Nothobranchius furzeri: one gene and its partners. The protein of the gene in region 3 purifies or fractionates together with the protein of the main gene of each other region. This does not show direct contact. Links are inferred from orthologs where the notes say so. Each region holds a gene or a part of one and is shown on either strand. Other genes may lie near its edges.

Region 1 (5,226 bases), on a different chromosome or scaffold from region 3:
AAATGTAGTGGATCTCCATCAGTGAGTCTACTTCAGCGCACAAAAAAAAACATTTATATTTTAACTTTTGTTATCTAACATGTATTGTTCACTGATGTTTTTCAGGACCTAATCACATGCCCATGCAAGGTCCTGGTCCAGGACCCAACCAGCCTCCAAACATGCCCAGTGGCTCAATGAACATGCCTCCCAGCAGCCATGGCTCCATGGGTGGCTACAATCACGCAGTTCCTTCTTCCCAAGGCATGCCAGCTCAGAATCAAATGAACATGACCCAAGGCCAACCTATGGGAAACTACGGTCCTCGACCAAACATGAACATGCAGCCCAATCAAGGTGAAACGAGGCATTCCCATTTTTTATAGTCAATTACTGGTTAGATTTACAATGAAAGGAATTTATTAAACACTGATAAAAACCATTTTAAATTATTATTTCGGATTATAATCGGTCACTCTGAGTCTGTCACCTACACCTATCTCCTGGACTAACTTATGATAGAAAATAGACGGTGAAACTCTAGGATTTGAAAAGCCTGACAGATCTACATCACACTGCCACTTAACATTCATGGACTCTCTCATCTTGGCTTGTGACGAGGAAGGCCGTTGTTGGTTAGGTTTGGCGTTTAAGAAACGGCAGAGAACATCTCGACTGGTAGAAGCTAACCATTAGCATTAGCAACTCTGCCACATGGCAGAACTACTCTAGGCATTTGTTATTTGTGGAGATGAAACATAAAAGTTGCAGAGCAAACTGAGTCAGTGTTAGAATTGCTTTGCTGTTAACCAAGTAGAAACGAGATGTCCAAAAATCAGGAAATAAGTCTCCAAAACCTGCCATCTGAAGCTACTTTCTCCTCCAGCTTCCTGGTTCAGACGCATCTGGGTCCTCCTCCCACTCCCAGAGTATGACTTACTTAAGACATTCATTCCTAGTAGAGACCACTGCAAATGTATTGAACAAGAGTTCAACACGTTTAAGTCACTGTGGGGCATGGTTGTGTTCGACAGGTCCGGTGATGCATCAGCAGCCTCCATCGCAGCAGTACAACATGCCCCCTGGTGGTGGTGGACAGCACTACCAAGGCCAACAGACCCCAATGGGTATGATGGGTCAGGTCAACCAAGGGAACCACGTCATGGGGCAGAGGCCAATGCCGCCCTACAGACCTCCACAGCAAGGTAAACCACTCAGTGTGTCAGTTCCACATCCAAGCAGAGTGTCGGTCTTCCTTCTCCTTTTCCCTCCTGTGTTTCTCACTCTTGTTCCTCCCAGTCTGTTTCTATTTCATCTTCTGTAGACTGCAGACAACTTGTTCAGTAACGGTTTAATCCAAAATCCCGTGTAAAATTAGTTGTGACAAAGGGAAAGCTCCTTTAAGATGAACTAGAAGCAAGGAGTCTATCCCCTCTACCCTCTCCTCCCCCCTTACACAGCAACAGCACCTTGAATCTACATGTGTGTATGTTGTATGTAGGACCCCCCCAGCAGTATCCAGGGCAGGAAGACTACTATGGCGACCAGTACAGTCACGCAGGACAGGGCGCCTCAGAAGGTAGGAGAACCCTGCAAGTCACTTGGGAGAACACAGACAATCAGTCAACCCAGGAGTTGAGTCAAAACACAAAAACGATGCTTCGACTAGGGTTGTCACGGTAACCGGTGTAGCGGTAAACCCTGGTAAAAAGTTGACAATAATAATAACCGTCTTGTTTTTAAAAAAAAAACGATATTATCTCGGTGGATTACCGTGGCTGTGGTGTAGGCGCGGTGACCCTTACCAGCCACCGTATCATCTGCTGAAGTTGCTGGCGGCACATGCGCGCTTTGTTGTTTACAACCAAAACTTTCTTGAAGCTAAAGCTGAAATAATGGTCAAAGGAGGAGACGGCAGCGCTCAGGAGGACATTTTTTATCCCTCAAAGAAGACAAAGTGGGAAGTACGGGCATCTTTTGGATATTTGAAGAATGCCGAGGGACAGTTGATAGAAGACGGCTATCCTGTTTGCAGCACGTGCAGAAAAAGTGTCTGTGAAAGGCAGCAACGCTTCAAATCTCATGACACATCTGCGTGACCATCTCCCGCAACTCTACAGTCAACGCAAGGCAAGCTAACGTTAGCGTTTTAGCTAGAATGCGTGATCCGAGGATTTGGGTTGAGGGAGAATGCAACGAGTCGCTATACAAAGCAGCCGCAGCGCCGCTACCTGCATATAAACCGTGTCACGGACACCCCATGTTGAAATGACGCTATGCATTACAGGGCTCCCAGGGGCAGATAAGAGTTGGTCTCTCTCCGAGAATAATTAAGAATTTAACAATGATTACTGCCTGATGACATTTTCCCACATCTGCAAAGCTCACTGGAAGGACACAAACCGAGGACAATATTTTCCTGATATACGGTTTATTACTCAAGTAAGGGTAAAAAAGTATCTGATTAGAAGGCTACTTGAGTACTGAGTATCATCTGATCTAATATTTTTAAAATGATGACATCAAACAGACAAAATAAGAAGATATGGGCAAATATTGGTATTTTAAAGACTAAAGGGGAAATATGTAAACAAATAAACAACATAATTACAAAATAACACATTTTAAGCAAAATTTAGACAAACTGAGGACAATATCTCCTGATATACAGGGTTTATTAAATTGTGTGAAAATGTAGCACGTTTAAAAAAAAATACCGCGATAATACCGAAAACCATGGTAATTTTGGTCACAATAACCGTGAGGTTAAATTTTCACACCATGACAACCCTAGCTTCGACAAAGCAAAACATTTCAGTTTCTGCAATGCATTCTGGGGATTTTAGGCTCTAGATGGCTCATACTTATTTTACATGCTACTTTGTTAATTTTTTCAGTTTTTGCAATACAGTCTGCATGTTCATTTTCTGTAAGCAATTATAAGTCCAGGTTTACTGACAAATATTGAAAAAGCAGCACAAACTACCATCTAGCGTAACTGTCTTGTTACAGTGTCATGAGACGGTTACAGTAGATGTCTCGTGACGCTAAAACATTTGCAGTTTGATCTGTTCAATTCACTGACTTGGTAAAAGTACAAAACTCTTCCTCTTTGTCTTGTTAACATTTACTTTTGTGGTTTTGTTTTTCTTCTAATAACCCTTTTCCTCCCTATGAACTTTCAAACATGGAGCTTATTTTTTCTAACAAGAAAACAAATATCTAAAGTGTGGGTGTGTACAATCTGCCACCAAGTCATGTTTGTTCACTTTTAACTCAAAATAAACTAAAGTAATTATGTCTAGACTTAGAAAAGTGCTGATCCGTTTCTGTCTGTTTTAGTGAGAGAATTAGTTTAGAATTTCAGACCGTAGTTTTATGGTTTTATTTAAAATATTCTGTGACTTTCTGCACATTTTAAAATGAAAATGAGCTCAGTTACTTTACATCTAGCATTGGTTTTGTTTGTTTGAATCTTGGTGTGTTTTAACAATGCCTGCTGATGCTGTTCGAAGGTAATGCGCAGTATGGCCAACAACAGGAACCGTACCAGCAAGGCCCGCCTCAGCAGCAGGGCTATCCGCCACAGCAGCAGTACCCGGGTCAACAGGGCTACCCACCGCAGCAACAAGGCTATGGTGAGTTTTGGGGAACTCGTTTGTCCTGTAGGAGGCACCATTGGCTCTCTTGGCGGACTTCGTCTAACTTGAATGATTTAATTTGAGTGAGGTGCTAGTTGCTATGTCACCATCATCTGGAGCAAAACATAAAAGGACTGCCTTAGTAAGCTGCAGTCCTGTCTTATTAGCTTCCTCTTCTCATTGCAAAAGTTATCTGTTCATACATTATTAAGTACTCATTTCCTCTACAGCTCATGTGTTGTATATGCCCAACCCCTGGCTTGTGGTTAGACTCCATGATAAAACCGAGCCAAACCTCAACGTAGCGGTAATAAATACACGCATTGAAGAATTTGTAGAATAGAAGTTCAAAGATCTTTCTTCTGTTATTTCCCATCACTCGCTGCTATCTGAGCCAGAGCTCATGTTAGTAATGAGCTAGCAGAGGCTGAGGTGAGATCCATCTGGCACATACACATGCCTGTTCTCCGAGGCCCCCACAAGGTTATGCACAGCAGCACAAGGCATTACAAGCGCCTAACGATGCTGCGTGGGCCTCATTTGACTTCAACCCTCAGTCCTTCACAACGGCTGGAAAGATGGCAGTCCTGAACAGAGGTTGATGAGATATATAAATATCTATATGTATATTTTTTTCTTTTTAGTTTTAATGATGCTTGCTTCTTTAATGAAGACAAACTGAAATTCCATGTCTCCTTGAGTTTGGGAGCCATCATCCAGCAGATTTTATTACAGTCCACTATAACAGAAACCTCCCAAAGTTTCTCAAATAAACGTCTAGAAGTGGATGCTATAATGAGCTGTAAGCACACAGGTTCGATGGAGGGCAATCATGATCTATGTTGTCAAGCTTGTTGAAGGATTGAGTTAGGGCTGCACGATATTAGGAAAACCTGCAATATTCGATAACAGTGCTTAATATTGCGATATCGATATTACTCACGATAAATGAACAAATACTAAAGTATGCAGTGTTGATGTCGTCTGGCGTGTGACGTCTGCTCTGGGTTCAAAGCAAACAAAAACTAATGCATGAATTCCATTACAACATAACATTTTTATTGCAAAAATATGCAGCTGCAACTGCTACTGTATTAGCAGCAAAACAACAAACTGCATGCATGCAGTTTCTCAGTGACTTTAAAACATCACCACCACCATAAAACTTTTTCTGATGCTCCAAATACAGAAAAACATCCCTTACCAGGGTTTTCTGAATAAATAAAAAAATCAGAAAATAAGTTTAAATGTTAAATAATAGTTAACATCACTTAAATGCAACAGCAAATTCTCTCATTGCTACTGAGCATTTTATCCACTTATGTGGTTATGATACAAGGCTATTGCTGTAATTGGGAAGTGATCTGTGCTGGGCCAAACTAGGAGAAAATTAAGATTTTCTGAGGGAAAGAGAAAAACAATTGTCTACCTTTCAGAAGAGGAACTGGCAAAAAACTACATGGAAAATATGTGAAAACGTTTGTTTTTAACCCCAAATTGAACAAGTTTACCTAGATCTTAAAAAGCAGCTCAGATGATGAAACTGCAGCTTTGATTCTGGTAACAAGCTAACAAATTGAACTAGCTCTTCTAAGAACATTGGCTA
Region 2 (3,980 bases), on a different chromosome or scaffold from region 3:
TCCATGATTCCTCTTGATTGCATGATGTAAAAGGATGTGAAAACACTTTTCAAAAGAAACAAGTGTGTGGATGTTTATGTCCTCATTTGGTAAAATATAAAAATTCATGACAAAAAAAATCTTGTTTCCCCCTTTTTTTTTTTGCTTTTCAGAGCTTCTGTAGAAAAATGATAGTTTAGAACTTCTGGTCCATGTGAGCAAATTCAGGAGGAGACCGTTTTCAGGCTAGTGGTCTTTCTCTCTTTTTAGCATAATGCTAAGCTAACACTATAATCAGATTTGATGTAACAGTGGTATCAGACTTCTTTATCTACAGTCAGCAAGAAAGCACATTTTTATAAAACAGAAATCCAAACGGTTGTAGCTGAGTATAAACATCAGAGAAAACCCATTAGTGACAACTCTAAGGCAAAAAAAAAAAAAAAACATGGCACCAAAACATTAAGTCCAAACCTGCTTGAACTAAACTTGTATCAATGGTAACACAAAGGCACACCTCCAGGACACCTGCTAGCCACGCCCATCCTCGCTACATTTATCTGCACATGTACCGTCGCCTTCTTCTATGGACCACAAGCTAATTCACTTTAGAAACACATGAATGGAGAACCTTTATGAATTGAGAAAAAAGACATCCACTACAGCAGCAAATCTATCTCTGTGATCGATTGTGACATACCATAACAGTGCATTGACCCTCCTGAGGAAAAAATAAAAATAAAAAAAACATTTCCTAAACAAACAGAGAACATTAGTCTAACAGGAGGCAGATGGGGAGGATTGAAGTGACTGGGCCTTAGGGTGGAGGTCCCCCCCCCCCGCAGCTGCTGATCTGAGACCAGGTTAGCCCCACCAGTTATCCTGAGCTAAACCACTAGCAGTAAAACAATTAAAGAGCAGTCTCAGAGCAGCGTTCGCGATCGACCTCGTCCTAATCCCAGACCCACTGTTTTCACTCACAGAAGCAGGTCAGTGCTGAGTTGACAGCGCCTCCTGTGGTCACAAAGGGGACCGCAGCCTGGGGTCGGCATTTCTCTTGGCAAAGTAATGTGGAGGACTGTAAGGAAGCACGGAGGGGGAGCAGTGAACAGAGGTAATATCCATCCTCCCTCGGTGGCGGGGGAGAGTACAGGGAGAGAGACGGCCATTCTCTCGTTGGTCTTGTGAGTTTGGGAAGAGAAAAATTGGCAGAAGAATAAAAAATAATAATAAAAAGGGAGTGAGGAGAGCCGGTGTGTCCATTAGCCCTAAATCACCTAGAGTTAATGGAAGGAGGTACAGAGAGAGGGACACAGGAGGATGAGGAGAGAAATGACTCAGCCCAAAATCTTTAGCTCTCCTCAAAGTCCTGAGATGAGGACTCCAGTTTGCTTTTCTTACTGGGCGGGGCCTCCTCCTGTAGGTCCTAGGAGCCAGACAAGAGAAACAAAGTGTGAGATTTTCACCAGAATCCATAACTAAAACATCCTTCTCTTTAAGCGGCTGCATGGTGGAATCAAGATGAGTAACTCCATTTAATTTAATCTGTGTGCTAAACACACAGCTGCTGGAGTCCGGTAAGCTCCAAAAACATGTAAATGTACTTTACATGTGTGCAGAAATATCAGTTATGCTGCTGAGAATGTTAACACTGATGAACGTGTTTTTAAAATGTGCAAAGATCTGCTAAAACAAGACTTCTCTCCCATCCCCAAATCACTTCACTGTCCATTCCTGTTCTCATCTCGGTGGTAACCCAGAAAACTAAACAAATGAGTCCTATAAGGACAGAGTGAGCTGCCCGACTCGTTAGCTGCCAAAGAAAGAATTTGTTCTGTCAGTCGGTCTCAATTCAAAATGTACTCCTCAGGTGAGAAAAGAAACAGTAAAAAAAAACATGTCCAGTTTACTTTGACTCACATCGCTAGCATCACAGATGTTTTTGTTTTATTTTGATCGACGCGTTACTGACCATTAGAATTTATTAATGCATGTTAACCTTAAGAGCCCCAAATACTAATAGATAAGATAATTCACAAAAATATTCTCAAAAGACAAATGGTCAAAGTTTGCTTTTTACGAGTTTATGAAAGTTTTAAATGGAGGATGCAGTTTTTAAATAGGCTCAGTACAGAAGTGTAGCTGATGACCCAATCAACCTTTATTTCTGCTGTTCGTGCCATTCTTTTGCTCGTTAGATGTCAGCAGCGCTGTTAGAGACGGTCTATCATTGGACTGAATTAATTAGGTTCAGTAATATTACACACACAGCAGGAATCTGTCAAAAGGGACGAGCATCAATGTCACATTGTAAATGCCTCGAGGACTATATGTCTTTGGTGCGTCTCTATAAAAATTTCAGTTCAGTTCTGCTGAGAATCGCATCTCAACTCTGGATGAGGATGTGGAGTAGGGCAAGATGGAAGCGATGGTTGTATCAAGTTTATCCTACTCTTTCTAAAGACACGTTTTACACACAAGTGAATTTACTACTCATATTTGTCATTTACCCCCATCCCTTGTTCCTAGAAAGCAGAGTTAAACAGATGAAACTGGCCCCGCCCACATGGTCCCTGCTCCTCTCAGGTGGTCACAGACGTGTTTGTACCTGAGTGGCTTTGCTGTTAGAAGAATCCTTCTCTCCTGAGGACATGCTGTCTCTCTTGGTGCTTGGTGCCCTCTCTGAGGTCTCTGATAAAGAAATGTTCTTACCTGGAATTTAACACAGCAACAAATCAGTCTGACTCATTTAGGCTCTCTAGTGGCACTGTGTGGTTGTGTGGAGTAACTGCACAGTTGGATTAACGGAGCCACAATATGACTGGTCTTTTTCCATGTACAAAAATTAAGAAAATCTAATTAAATGTAATAAATGTTGCCATACAACCAAAATCAGATTCTTACAGAGCCTGCCAGGTACCACATATTAAAAACCAGGCTGTAGAAATCTGTCCTCTTTGTTTAAGAAAGCATACAAACATCTGCTCAGACATCATTCTGTTTGACAGCACGCTACAGATCTATGTTCAGTAAAATTGGGACCAGTTGGAACTTCCAGGATTTATGAATCGTAAACATAAGCATCAAAACTCTGTAAAACTACATATAAACTAAATCCTAGTCAAACAAGCCATGTTACAAGCCAGATAAGTGCTTTGAAACTGTCAATAAATAATGACAAAGAAATGACCAAACTTTATGTAAACTTTACGTTTCCTATTAAAGTGGAAACACAGACTACACTAAAGGTGGTATTAACTTTCACAGCCAGACGGTCCCTAAAGCCTTGTTTCACTTCTGGTGTTTGTCTCCCTTCATAGGGAGCCTAAGTCACGCCTATCTACTTCTGGATCATGGGTCCCCGGAAGAACAAAAAAACGAATGCAAGTCAATGGGGCTAAAAACGCTATTTTCTAATCTACTTGTTTTGTGCCATGGATTTCACATATGATGTCTGTGAATTTTAAAGACACATTCTGATACCAAAAACGCGCTTATTTTTGAACAGGGAGAAATGCTATTTTAGATTTGGTGTGAAAATAAGTCCAGGACTACAAATGCACTTCACAAAAGTGACATCATCGAACCAGACATGGAGAAAACTGAGGGAAAAGGGCTGTAAGTTCAGCAAAATTCCCACAGGAGGAAAGAACCACCATAAATCTGGCCATTTGGTACGTAGAAGCTACTTAGGGGAGAGGAGATTATGTGGTGACGTCACATATGCGACGTGCCGATTGCTGGAGTGTGGTCATGCTAATTATGAACTTTTACAAACTGATAAATCTCAAAGTACGTGACCGGGGTGGTTGAAACACCCATTGTTACTTTTCATTTAAGTTGCAGTACAACATATGTGCGATCCAGGACGTAAGGCGAAGCAATTGGAAAAAAGCGTTTTTAGCCCCGTTGACTTGCATTCATTTGTTTGGTCTTCCGGGGACCCATGAGCCGACCGGAACGGGAGGAGACTTAGGGTCCCTATCCTCCAGTAGTGGCTG
Region 3 (5,801 bases):
CTTCAAATGCATTTAAACTAGTTTACAGGGAACATCTCAGATCTTACGCTGAAAAGCTGTTTACTTGGCACCATTTGCTTTTCTGTAGTCCTGGGATGGACAAACGTGTACTGTGAGCCTGATCATTGACCCAATGATTGCTGGTAGAGGCACCACCTCCCCATAACAGAATAGAATAAAGCAGGAACAGGGAGCTCTTCCAATCGGCTAATTGGTCATCTTATGAGGACATTCAATTTTAAGCAGACCAAAATACAACTTAGCCCCATCTACTTTTACACAGAGACCCCTCAGCCAACTGGAAGGGGAAGAGCATTTATTCTATAGTAGGGGTATTTGATTCCAGGCCTGGAGGTCCAGTATCTTGCAAGTTTTATTTTAGCCCCGTTTCAGCACACCTGATTTCAATCAGCAGGTGATTGACAGGCTTCTGCAGAGCCTGATGAGCTATTGCACAGGTGAGTCAAGTGTGTTGAATAAGAGAAACTACTAAATGTGCTGGATAGTGGACCTCCAGGACCAGAATTGAATACCCCACTCTAAAGCAGGACTTCCCAATTTCTTTTTTCCCCAGGACCCCCTTGTGCATGTCCAAGACAAGTCAGGACCCCCAACTCCTACATGCGTACACACATTAAATGTAATCACTTACCATCTTTTACCAGCATAGAGTTATAAATTATATATGGAGTTTTGATTTTACTGTAGGGTGTGTTATTTGGAGTTTATAAATGTAATTTTTATAATTCTTGCTAATCTCACAAGCTCAGCAAAGACAAAATTGTAGGGACCCCATATCCCAATTTGGAAACCTCTGCTCTATAGGATATGAAGGAACTAAAACAAGTCATCTTGTGCAAACCTCTTTAGATATTTAACGACATCCCATCTAAAGCGCATTACTGTCAAAGTGTCACTAGCAATGAAATATTGAAATCAGCCTTACCATATGCATAAGCAGAGCACAATGGAAAGCAGAGCAGCAGCAACTGCAACATTACAGTGGATCCCATGATGCTGGTTAAAACATACAAGGTAAAAAAATAAGTTTGCAAGGTTAAAGAGAGTTCAAAGCAAATTGCTAGAATTATGACCTATAAACGTGCTTAGCACTTTAGTGAGAAAATAAATGAACTACAAAAAGAGGAGGAAGCAATCTTTTATATAAGGGAAACGTGGGAGTGAGAAATAACACTGACAGGAAATACAGAAAAACTTTCGGAAGCCATGACCAAATAAGTGATCTCTTACCACACTCTCGACAGCAGAAGAACAATCAGAGCTCTAACAACTATTATGGACCATGCAACAATCAGAGCTCTAACAACTATTATGGACCATGCCACACACACCTTTATCTGCTCCTCCATCAATCAGAGGGGGTGGAGCACCAGCAGGTGCCACTGGGATTCCAATCAGTTTATTACTGACTTCGGGGGAGACAGGAGAGGAGTGCCGGTCCACACTCCAGACCTATAGGTGGCGATGATGCACCACATGTTGTTTATGGCCATTGAACCTCAGAGAACAAACTTATTACGTCATGGTTTCCTTCTGTAATATAAAAAATAGATTTGTATAAAATACATTTCTTAATTAGGCTTGGCTTGAACATACCCATGTCACTTTAGCAAGATTATCTTACCTTTTATCCATGCTACTGAATGTCCTATTTTAGTTATTAAAATGAAGAGTAAAATAGAAGATTGTGATGGGATTCTGTTTCTTTACCCAGTCATTCAAAATAACACCCAACCAAATATTCAAGCAAAACATGATGTGCACATAAAGCCCAACAGAAGGAAACATACTGAGAAGTGTATTGCTGCCATCTGGTGGCAACATGTTGACGACATAACTGAAGTTTCACAATAATACCATAAAATGTTCTTTTGTCTGTAGAGCTCCATTAATGTCATTAAGTAAATACTCTATTAAGTAAAAATAAAAGGAATATAGTGTTTAAAAGTAGATAAGAAGCCTGCAGACATGGCAGATTTGTCTAATCAGCTCCTTACTTTTTGTGTTAATTCCTATAACCCTGCCACGTGAATCTGGGGGGGGGGGGGGTACGCCTACATTTCCCATGAGCGTCACATAAACCTCGTGATCACTTTGCGGCTGCGCAGTATCATTTGAAAACTTGCACGGCGAGGGATGCCGTTGAGGAGAAAGACAACGCAGTGAGCTACACACAATGGCGACGGCGGCGACTTCTGCGGGCGGAACGGGTTCAAGCGGACCAGCCACAGGCCTGGTCGGTGGAGGAACCGCGGTAGGACGAAAGAAAGACGGCGGTCCTTCCACGAAATTTTGGGAAAGTTCCGAGACGGTGTCCCAGCTCGAGACGGTGCGGCTTTGGATCGGGAAGCACTACAAGAAGGTGGGTTAACGCTGCTGTGTTCCTCATTGATTTCTATAAAGGCCCGCGTCTCGCTGGCACAATAGAGCGCTGATATGTTTATAACCTTCATGTACACTAAGCTAACTTTAGCTGTAGTTGTTCTGGTTGACTCATGTTTATAATCTCGCTCAAGAGAGTGCAGACAGTCTCCTTTTAGACACGATTAAATGCAAACGTACTATGATAGCTGGAGTGAAGTTGCTTTTCTGTTAGCCTGCCATCAGCTAGCTCGCTAGCCGCTCAGTCAGCTAAACACAACAAATTAGTTCTAATAAGGTACTGAATGTCGAACTGTTGATACGTTATTGTAGTAAAAACGCACATGTGAAATTATGTTGTGTGCTAAAAATATATACGACCCACTCATTCGGTGTAAAGGCCTAAGAAACTAACGAAAATGTCACGGTGCACCGTGTGTGTACGATTCACATAAACATAACACACCATTCATTCTGTTTTACGTTATATTTAGGTCTCAGAAAGTCACAAGATAATTGTGTTTGTTGCATTTTGTGTAAAAGAGTCCTCATTGTGTTGTTTTGTCAACACACTCATCAGGCAGACAGCCTCTGGCTTCTCTCGCCCAGCAAAACAAAGAGTGTATCTATTCAAACCCACCATCACGCCCATGGAGGCGCATTTAAAAACAACGCAAAAGTTCAACTGAACAGCAAACTTGATGGAGTCTAGATTCTGTTTTAAGTTTGCTTGTTTGCAGTTTTTGTGTTGGAATCATGTTTTTCTTACCGTGTCTTTGACTTAAAAAACGTAGGTACTTAGATTAATAAGGATTTCTGTGATTGCATGTAAATATTTTCATGTCACACCAGAACACATTATTTATAGGACTTAGTAAAGTTAAAACAACAACAAGTCGCCCAGCTGAAGATTTATTTGTTAAATGAGCAGCAAGGTTGTGGTTAATAGTGTTTAAAATATCAGATATTGCGAAATTAGACCTATTCCCATGACCATGCATGTATTTGTTACTGTGCAGACTTCTGTGTGTCACCAAAGTTTTGTAGCTGCTTGTAATATATATGTGTTCATTTTCAGATGCTTTCCTGTTTCTTTGTCAGTGATGCATGTAAATGATTCAATGATTATGGTTTTTTTTTCAGTATGTTCAGAATGACTCCCCCTCCAGCAAATCACTGGGAGGCTTGGTGGTGCAGCTGCTGCAGTTCCAAGAGGATGCATTTGGACGGAGGGTCAACAATCCAGCTCTTACCAAGCTACCTGTAAGCACACCTTCTTTGCAGAACCAAAAGCTATCATAATGTCTGTGTCTTGAATCTCTTTGTTTATCTTCTCTCTTCAGGCCAAGTGTTTCCTGGACTTTAAGGCTGGAGGGGCTCTCTGTCACATCTTGGGCTCGGTTTATAAGTTTAAAAGTGAACAGGGCTGGTGAGTGGATTTATTTTTAACTTCAAAACTGGTATGACCCAAACTTAACCTCTTTGATTGTTTTGAACCAGTGGTTTAGCAGAATTTAACTCTTTGGTTACACCAGTACCACGAACTGAACATCTTGTAAAATGTGACAAAATTCATACTGCATGAAATCAAAAGGATATTCAACTTTTAGTCAGTTGTGTGTTCGTCTTAAAACTAATTTGGTTTTGCTTTATGAACTCTACTCTTAGGCGAAGATTTGATTTGCAGAATCCCTCAAGGATGGACAGAAATGTGGAGATGTTCTTAAATGTTGAGAAGAACCTGGTTCAGGTATGAGCATCCCAGTCTGAACACAGACTTTTTGTCTTCTATATATTTGACCTCTGCATGGGTAACGTCTGGTTTTATCGATGGTTTGTGTTTTTGTAGAATAACTGCTTGACGCGACCTCTGGTCTACCTGTCTTCGGAAATAGAGCAAAAACAAGCGAGTAAGCTCAAAGACATCGTCAAAAGGCACCAGGTGAGTTCACTTCAAACCAGGAAATAAAAACAGTTTATTTTTTTATGTATTTTTATTATGACTAGCATGAACGTCTTTGTCTTTTCAATTATCTAACTTTGTTTCTCTTCAGGGCTCCACCACCGAGGATAAGTCAAAGGCCACCCACCACATTTATCCTTCTCTTCAGCAGCAGGAAGAAGGTTGGTTTATAACTTTTGTGACTTTGTGCATACATTTTATGATGTATGTTTGAACTTGGGTGTTATTGTTCCTTGCTGATCTGACTCATTTATAGTGTGATCTCTATCCCATCAAACACATCTAGATCAGAATAAAGATCATTTAGCTCCGTTTATGGAGGCTTTATTTAGCTGATCTTCTTGAAAATGGGAATTTTTTGTCACAGCACGGATAAAATCTTCGCTAATTGCTGAAGTTGTGCTGGGGGTTGTGTTTTTCAGAAGAGTGGCTACGTCCTGTGATGAGGAAAGACAAGCAGGTGCTTGTTCACTGGGGCTTTTCCCCTGACAGGTAATCAGAAAGGATCACAGAGAGACTCGGACATGCTTTTCTTTATTGTGGATATGTTTTTACTCTGCAGGAGTATTTCTCTAAAGTTATTCAGTTTCTATTTTTATTAGTAATTTAAAAAACACTAAATCTAATGTCAGAGACATTTTTGCCAAGTTTTTTGTTTTGAAATCACCCAGATTAACCACCTTACTGATCCTGTGTCTGTTATGTATTTTACCAGCTACGACACCTGGGTGGCAGCTGGTGAGGTGGACGGAGACGTTGAAGACCCTCCCAGTGCTGACCGACCCTGGAAGGTGGAGCACCCTCTACCAAAATGATCTGTTTAGCACTGAAGATTTCATAAATAGACACACAAGCGTAAAACTAGCCTGGCTGCTCAGAAAACTTTTTTTTCTGGAAAAAACATGTAAATCTAGATATTGGTATTAACCCTTCTGATGTGTGGAAAACATAACTTTTTAGAATTAATTATTTTCAATAATTTAATGACTGCATCCTATTTGTATTGTAAATTGATTTAATCATTTTTGGTGTCCGTGAAGCTTTTCTCCTGTGATGCTTCACAGCAGTAAACACTGAGTTATTGTTTTTTTAACCACCACCCTTTCTCTCCATATACTTTTATGTCAGGTTCATGCCAAATGGGTTTCAGACACCGATGCCTTCAATGAGTGGATGAATGAAGAGGACTACGAGGTGGACGAGAACAAGAAGCCAGTCAGCTTCCGACAGAAGATTTTCCCTAAAGAGGAGGAGGTAGCTGTTTGATGCAGATTTTAATAAATGTACCTCAGAGTCACAGAGGTCAGGAACAACGTCCTGATTATATCACATGTAATTGTTTTTGAGTGATGTTATATTCTGTTGCAAGCTTGTGTTTTGTTGCGTTTAGCTTTGCCTTGTAGGTTGTTCTCTGTCGTCTTCCTTCGTCCACGTCCGGTTCCGTTTCTTACTCATC

Evidence for each region. The genes of interacting proteins can lie anywhere in the genome.
Region 1: the proteins of smarcc1a (region 3) and ss18 purify together in Homo sapiens (affinity purification with mass spectrometry; 4 studies listed by BioGRID and IntAct, counting the BioPlex papers as one, with this or other methods). This does not show direct contact. The link is inferred for Nothobranchius furzeri from reciprocal best matches to the Homo sapiens genes SMARCC1 and SS18.
Region 2: the proteins of smarcc1a (region 3) and bcl7a purify together in Homo sapiens (affinity purification with mass spectrometry; 4 studies listed by BioGRID and IntAct, counting the BioPlex papers as one, with this or other methods). This does not show direct contact. The link is inferred for Nothobranchius furzeri from reciprocal best matches to the Homo sapiens genes SMARCC1 and BCL7A.

What each region holds. Positions count from the first base shown.
Region 1 is NC_091751.1:52,441,526-52,446,751, forward strand, and holds part of ss18 (protein SSXT), read left to right. Parts: intron 1-105; coding exon 106-336; intron 337-1,013; coding exon 1,014-1,184; intron 1,185-1,480; coding exon 1,481-1,558; intron 1,559-3,494; coding exon 3,495-3,617; intron 3,618-5,226. UniProt on the Homo sapiens protein: Appears to function synergistically with RBM14 as a transcriptional coactivator. Isoform 1 and isoform 2 function in nuclear receptor coactivation. Isoform 1 and isoform 2 function in general transcriptional coactivation.
Region 2 is NC_091746.1:40,396,314-40,400,293, reverse strand, and holds the end of bcl7a (B-cell CLL/lymphoma 7 protein family member A), read right to left. Parts: intron 2,692-3,980; coding exon 2,588-2,691; intron 1,406-2,587; coding exon 1,331-1,405; 3' UTR 1,183-1,330; downstream 1-1,182.
Region 3 is NC_091745.1:65,005,531-65,011,331, forward strand, and holds the start of smarcc1a (SWI/SNF complex subunit SMARCC1), read left to right. Parts: upstream 1-2,127; 5' UTR 2,128-2,197; coding exon 2,198-2,383; intron 2,384-3,525; coding exon 3,526-3,645; intron 3,646-3,725; coding exon 3,726-3,811; intron 3,812-4,050; coding exon 4,051-4,132; intron 4,133-4,231; coding exon 4,232-4,324; intron 4,325-4,436; coding exon 4,437-4,506; intron 4,507-4,767; coding exon 4,768-4,837; intron 4,838-5,060; coding exon 5,061-5,136; intron 5,137-5,473; coding exon 5,474-5,599; intron 5,600-5,801. Other genes in the region: uncharacterized protein si:ch211-215k15.4, read right to left, coding at 947-1,017, 1,252-1,370. UniProt on the Homo sapiens protein: Involved in transcriptional activation and repression of select genes by chromatin remodeling (alteration of DNA-nucleosome topology).